Canis lupus familiaris: one gene and its partner. The protein of the gene in region 1 purifies or fractionates together with the protein of each later gene. This does not show direct contact. Links are inferred from orthologs where the notes say so. Each region holds a gene or a part of one and is shown in the gene's direction. Other genes may lie near its edges. The genes, in order: TBPL1 and GTF2A1.

Evidence for each region.
Region 2: the proteins of TBPL1 (region 1) and GTF2A1 purify together in Homo sapiens (affinity purification with mass spectrometry; 5 studies listed by BioGRID and IntAct, counting the BioPlex papers as one, with this or other methods). This does not show direct contact. The link is inferred for Canis lupus familiaris from reciprocal best matches to the Homo sapiens genes TBPL1 and GTF2A1.

The regions. Positions count from the first base shown.
Region 1 is NC_049222.1:27,162,367-27,166,009, forward strand, and holds part of TBPL1 (TATA box-binding protein-like 1), read left to right. Parts: intron 1-228; coding exon 229-311; intron 312-471; coding exon 472-535; intron 536-3,066; coding exon 3,067-3,170; intron 3,171-3,281; coding exon 3,282-3,376; intron 3,377-3,643. UniProt on the Homo sapiens protein: Part of a specialized transcription system that mediates the transcription of most ribosomal proteins through the 5'-TCT-3' motif which is a core promoter element at these genes. Seems to also mediate the transcription of NF1. Does not bind the TATA box.
Region 2 is NC_049229.1:53,857,800-53,861,625, reverse strand, and holds part of GTF2A1 (transcription initiation factor IIA subunit 1), read left to right. Parts: intron 1-1,445; coding exon 1,446-1,650; intron 1,651-2,646; exon of another isoform or gene 2,647-2,791; intron 2,792-3,384; coding exon 3,385-3,449; intron 3,450-3,826. UniProt on the Homo sapiens protein: TFIIA is a component of the transcription machinery of RNA polymerase II and plays an important role in transcriptional activation. TFIIA in a complex with TBP mediates transcriptional activity.

The DNA.
Region 1 (3,643 bases):
CAGGGTGTGATCCTGGAGTCCTGGGATTGAGTCCCACGTCGGGCTCCCTGCATGGAGCCTGCTTCTCCCTCTGCATGTGTCTCTGCCTCCCTTTCTGTGTCTCTCATGAATAAATAAATAAAATATTTTTTAAAATAAAATGGCCACATAGAGTAGAGCCATAAGTGAAAATTAACACTTAGTATGTAACCATGGTTTTTTTGTTTCTGTTTTTGTTTTTTATTGCAGAAAGTATTAATGAAGCTTAGAAAACCTAGAATTACAGCTACAATTTGGTCCTCAGGAAAAATTATTTGCACTGGAGCAACAAGGTAAATTTTACTTGGATTTTTTATTTTAATTTTTAAATTTTTCCTTTATGGAAAGGACATTTTTCTAGACTTAAAATTATATGTACAGTTTGTCATGTTTGTCAGTATAAAATTTATTTCTTGTGTGACTGATAATCTTTTTCTTTCCTTAAAACCATAGTGAAGAAGAAGCTAAATTTGGTGCCAGACGTTTAGCTCGCAGCCTGCAGAAATTAGGTTTTCAGGTAACATTTTAAAAAACATCCAAACTGTAAATATTAAAGGATTTAATTTGTAAAGTTAAATTTTTTAATGTAATAGACTAAAGAAATCACACAGATACTCTTCTCATGATTGGCCTTTTTCTTACTGTCCTTCAGTACAAAAATTTCATAGTAAGCTCTCACCCATGTGTGTACTTGTAAATGATCCTGGCTTTTTCACTAACCCCTTCCTCATTGAGAGACTTGTTGCCTTACAAGTGAACTGCCTCTTCAACTCTTTAGGTTGTTCACTTCTCACCAAAAAAAATCTCATTTTTGATCATCTCAAGAGTGGTATGTTGGGATGATGAGTAGGGTGTAGGGCCCTATGTTTAAAAAGTTAAAGCGTATTTGTTTTTATTTATAGATAGGTATCACATAAATTATAAAGAAGAGAAAAGATATTAAAATGGAACTTGCAGGGACACCTGGGTGGCTCAGCAGTTGAGTGTCTGCCTTTGGCTTAGGGCGTGATCCCAGGGTCCTGGAATCCAGTCCCACATCAGGCTTCCTACATGGAGCCTGCTTCTCCCTCTGCCTGTGTCTCTCTCTCTCTCTGTCTCTCATGAATAAGTAAATAAAATCTTAAAAAAAAAAAAAAAAAAAGAATGGAACTTGCATAGATGTATGCATTGTACGGCTAAGAGTAAACAGTGTTCCTACATATTATGGTTAGTGAGAACATTACCATTATAACAGGGAATTGTAATTATTTAAAAATATGCAGAATTTATATAATCTGTGCTTTAGAAATAACTGTACATGATGTTGTAAGTTGAAAAGAATTGACATGAATAACTAATACCAACTACACACCTGTGTATAAGAACTCAGGAAAGGCTGTATTCTGTAAAATCAATCATAATGTATTTAAAATGACATAAATCCGGGACGCCTGGGTGGATCAGTGGTTGAGCATATGCCTTTGGCTCAGGGCATGATCCCGCCCTTGGGGAGCCTGCTTCTCCCTCTGCCTGTGTCTCTGCCTCTCCGTTTGTGTCTCTCAGGAATAAATAAAATCTTTAAAAAAATAAAATGACATAAATCCAAAACAAAATGCACATCATATGAAAAGGGACATTTATAAGATTGGTTTCCTGTGTCAAATCTGTGGTTTAGTCCACAAAAAGTAGACACTGGGTGGTGGGCTCTCACATGTAAAATGATACTCTTTGGCAGAGTATCAAGTCTGGCAGGTTAAGTTTATCAAGTATAATTTTATGGAGGCATAAATTTAAGTAAAAGTTAGTACATATTATGGACTTGTTATGTCACTTGCAAATGATGAGTAAATGAAAGAAAGGTAAAGATGAGCTGTGAGCCCCAAAGAGGTGGGCCCAAGCTGTGTGAAATTTGAATGAGTAGTGGTGGAAAGTTGAGTTTCTTTCTGACCTCTTCAGTCTTCATTGAGGTGGAACATGCTAGAAAGGCCTGGAAGTGCTGGTTGCTGCATGAGGAAAGAGGCGGTACTGAGAGTCTTGACTGATGGTGCTGCCACTTGAGACAGTTTTGTGACATTCATCAACTGCCTTATGCAAGTACTCTGCTGGAGAACTGTAGTTTGGGGACATTTCAAAACCTAAGATACAACCATTCAAGTTATTGGTAGGAGTGACTGAAGTAAGTTCCTTCTCAGCCTTGGAGCTTCTTGTCTTAGCATAACATTAGAAATGTTGAAAAAAATCCCAGTTACAAACACAGTCTTCTCACTCTGTCCCCCCAAAAGAAAACAAGCATCTCACTAAACTCACAGAAATATCATTTTATTCTATTGCATATAAGAAAATGTCTGACCTTGGAGCTCAGTGTATGCTCATTATTTATTGACTTTTAAGTGACCGCTTTTCCATTTTGACTCTTGAGAAGAACTCTGCTTTAATTTTTTTTCATCCTTCTTCTTTATCCTAGATTAAATATCTCATTTTAAGTATTAAGAAAATTAAACATAAGATTCAAAAGACCCTATGTGTTTTAATCCTGCAAATATCCTAGGTGTTGTTTAATTTTTTGAGGTTTTTGACCTTTGATTTCCCTTTAGAGTTGACTCTTTAACAACACAGGTTTGAACTGTGCAGATCCATGTACAGGCAGATTTTTTTTGAATAAGTATAGTATTATAATTGTATTTTCTCTTCCTTATGATTTTCTCTAGCTTTGTTGTAAGAATACAGTAGATTAAGATACAAAATATGTCTTAATTGGCTGTTTTATAGGTAAGACTTCCAGTCAACAGTAGGCTAGTAGTAGTTGAGTTTTGGGGGAGTCAGAAGTTATGCGTGGACATCTGACTGGCCAGGGATACTAATCCTTGTATTGTTCAAGAGTCAACTGTATGGTATTAAGAAATCACTGATAAAGTACAATATTGATGTTTAAGATGTACTTGTTCTTTCTTGCTCTTATTCTTAAGGATTGAAATAATGATTTACAATTGTTCTGATGAGCAGTTTTTTTTCTAATGAGTAATTTTTTTGTTTTAAAATAACTTATTGAGTCGTACTTCTCTCCTAAAGGTAATATTTACAGATTTTAAGGTCGTTAACGTTTTGGCAGTGTGTAACATGCCGTTTGAAATTCGTTTGCCAGAATTCACAAAGAACAATAGACCTCATGCCAGGTAGGTCTCTGAATAATCAAGACAACTTACCAAATTTATAATTACCTGTCAGCCTGTAAATATTTATATTAATTGTGATTTTTTTCTTTTTTTTTTTTTTTTTTTTGGTAGTTATGAACCTGAACTTCATCCTGCTGTGTGCTATCGGATAAAATCTCTAAGAGCTACATTACAGATTTTTTCAACAGGGAGTATCACAGTAACAGGTATTTTATGGTATTGAAACCAAGCTTAAAAAAAAAAAAAAAGAAAAAAAGAAACCAAGCTTATCATCAGTTAAGGTTTGAATGAGGTGCCTGTATTAAAATAGAAATAATGTCTCATTTGTCCACTTTAGTCACTTCTACTCCACAAACCAGTCCCCTGACTTTTAACACTGTAGTTTAGCTTCCCCTATTTTTATCTACTACTTCAAAACTTTATATATGCTCCTTGGGATCTCTCTTCTTTCATTGATTATTATTATAGTGAGA
Region 2 (3,826 bases), on another chromosome or scaffold:
AGATTTGCTAGAATTGTTACTAGCATGTACTTACAAATACAGAATTTCTAGAATAGTTGGAAGTGTCAAGGAGACACTCGTAAAGCGTTGTGAGCATAGTAAAGGGAGGCTCTGATAGAAACCTCAGGTGTGTTAGGTAATATTCCAAGAGTATATCCTAGGGGGGAAAACAGTGTATGTAGGTGTTAGGTGCTGGTATACAAAATGATTGATATATTATTTTTAAAATATTTTATTTACTTGAGAGAGAGCGAGCCTGTGACTGTGCTCAAGAGCAGGGAGCGCGGGAGCGGGGATGAAGGTGAGGAGGAAGGAGGAGAGGGGGGACCAGCAGACTCCCTGCAGGACCATGAGTTCATGACCTGAGCCAAAACTGAGTCGACCACTTAACCAGCTGAGCCACCCAGGTGCCCCAAAATAACTGAATTAAATTTCATTTGTATATTTAAAGAATAGTTTTCTTTCTTGGGCAATTTCTTAGAAGGGTTAAGGTTTTCCACAATGAAGACTTAAATCTGGTTAGAGAGGAAATGTGTGAGGGAGAGGAATGCAGTAGTCATAAATATTTTATTTTCTGTCTTCCTTTGCCCATGTCTGATTTATTTCCCCATCATAATTGCTGTGTCCTAGGGTGAGAGGAGAAAATAGAAGTGGCAAAGCAGAAAAGGATTGTTATTCCTTGTCATGATGGAGGATGGAGGGGAATTTCAAAAGGTGTGGAGGGTTGAGAATGCCTCTAAAAGCGTTAGGCATTGTTGGTTTTTTAACTTGTGTAGGATCAGACAAAGTTAGGCTTTTCTAACTTGAGGATTGCCTCTATGATGTTTCTCATTGTTCAAATCAAGGAAACATGAATTTATGTTTTGCTATAATAGCTTAAAAGTTAGATATTTCATTAAAGGGAGATTTCCATGAAAATAGTAATTATTTTGATGTTAAAAAAGGGTACCCTGATGATTAAAAAATTGCTTATGTGAAACTCTGCCTGGAATTACCGTAGAGAGTTTGAAGACATAAAAAGAAACAAAATTCTAGGCAACCTCGGTGGCTCGGCGGTTTAGCGCCTGCCTTCGGCCCGGGGCGTAATCCTGGAGACCCAGGATCGAGTCCCACATCGGGCTCCCCGCATGGAGCCTGCTTCTCCTCCCTCTGCCTGTGTCTCTGCCTCTCTCTCTCTGTGTCTCTCATGAAGAAATAAATAAAAAATCTTAAAAAAAAAAAAAAAGAAACAAAATTCTTCAGTACTCCAAGATAGCAAAAAAGAAATTTGATACTTTAAAAGTTATTTTTCATTATTGTATACACTTGTGTAAAAATTAGAGATTGGTTTATTTTGTGGTTGTATTGGTTTTGAAAATGGAAGAATTTTATGAACAGACTAATAAAATATGTTTTATCCACATGTCTGAAGTTACCTTCACTAACATTACTTTTCTTTGCCTTAGTTGTGGGAGAATAAACTAATGCAATCTAGGGCAGTAGATGGATTTCATTCAGAAGAGCAGCAGCTTTTATTGCAAGTTCAACAGCAGCATCAACCCCAGCAACAGCAACATCACCACCACCACCACCATCAGCAAACTCAACCACAGCAAACGGTACCTCAGCAAGCGCAGACTCAGCAGGTCCTTATTCCTGCATCACAGCAAGGTGAGACTGGATATATTTTTCTACTTACAACGTGGAAATGAAATTTGTCATTTTCAAAGAAGAGAAATAGCTGTAGGTTTTTCCTTTTTATTGACTGAGGGGATAGTGTATGTATATTTACATACAAATTTTGTATAAAACGTGGATTTTATATTGTAGAAATTATAAACAAGTAGTTAACTGAGAGCCTACGATGATATTCTTAAAAGTGTATTAATACTTTCTTTCGAGAAGGCTATAAAACGGTAGATTTCCCTAAATAAGTCAGACCTATTAAAGATTTATTTACTAAGGATTTCATTATTTCATATGGTAAAATTGTTACCACTTTCTTTGTAAAATTGATCAAAGACATTTAAGTTTGTTTTTTATAAATACATCTTAAGCACTGGGGGATTTTTGTAAGTATGGCAGTCTGAAATTTCAGTTCTTTAATACTTTGTGTAAGTATAAATTGGCTGAATTAGACTTAAGTGAAGAGTGTGTGTGTATCATAATTTATATTACTTGGTTTAAAGGTAAGAAAAAAACCAAATATAGACTGTGTCCATACTTCTTTGTACTATGCAAGTAAATCTGTAAATTTGTTTCATTGAAGCTTTACAAAAGGCTTTGTGAAATAGTTCTCCCAACATTTTAATACTAAGGGAAATTTGGGCCCTGAGAAGGCCAGGAAGGTTGGCCTATTACATGTAACAAGTATTTTCTGTCATCACAAACCTGTTTGGTCATGAAGCTTTCCAAGCATTTGCATTTTGTAAATCTTATTATTGGAGAGGAGAATGAAGGTAAATGAAAAGTTTAATTACTACCCATTTGCCTTATTTGAGAGTGGCTGAGAATATATAAGACTTAAAATTGATAGTGATACATAGTAAGTAATGTATGGTAGAAATGTCTGTTTGGATTGTTTTACTGTTTATACCAAATAAGACCTTTAACATTTGATTTTATTCTATACCTGCATTAAATAATTTTATCCTTTTTCATCTGTTTTGATGACTGTTCCTCCTATTGCCTTCAGGCCTTGGCACTAGGATTTTAGGTCATCATAAATTAAAATTTGATTTTCTTCACTCAGAGAATATTAGGATAATGGGATTATCTGTTTATTCTCTGAAATTTGCGGAATCAAACATCTAATTCCTTTTATATTTACGTAACATTGCCATTGTTTCTTCTCTCTCTCTTTTTTTAACAGCCATTATTTCTGATTTATATTTTTTAAAAAGTTGTTGGAAGTAACAAGATTTTGACAGCTGTCAAATGGGAGAAGAAGGCTATGTAGATGTAAAAAAAAAAAACCTAGTTAATAGTTTCTTTGAGCTCATTCTTAATGGGTTACTAACTCATTCTAACAGTAGTATTAAACAATATTGAGTTAGCAAGATACAATTAAATTTTGTTTGAAATTTTCCAGTTTAAGAACGTACAGAGCTGTATATGTATAGGTTTTAGGTATCTCACTACTTCATGCATCCAAATTTCTTTGTATCCTTAGGTATTGTTACACAAATCTTTTTTTAAATTGATATTTTTAAGTATAATATGGGTATATCACAGCTGTTATTTACCATAGAAATTTATAACATTCTTAGGTATCAAATGGGTGGATGCATTTGGATGTAGAAAACAGGAAAAAAAGTTCTCATCATTGTATAGCATTCTTAGTATTTTGAAACAGCCTCATGGTTCCTTGTTTGCACTTGTGCTTTTTGTTTTTTTCTATAATAGCTGCTGCACCACAAGTTATAGTTCCTGATTCTAAGCTGATACAACATATGAACGCATCAAATATGGTAAGACTTGGAATATAGTATTTTGCTTAGCTCTACTTATTCTAACTCAAAATTGTGATTATGCTTAGGTGTGTTGTATATTAACAATGTGAAATTTATTTGAGACTTTAACAAAATGGCTGTTTATTTGGTTTCCTCGTTATTGGGTTTAGCAGCACATCTAAAATTTAGCTTGATACTTAGACATAGAGGTTCATAAAATTATGCAGTTTTCTGTTGAAAATACCAAAAGAATAATGTTTTGTGAGAGATCTTCCGTCCCATGCTATTTTTGGAAAATGGGTTTAGGGCACCTACCAAACATACTGTGTCAATTATAGTTCTGTTTCAGAAGACCCATTAATTGCTAGAGGTCAGGAATGCTAAGAATTGTAAAC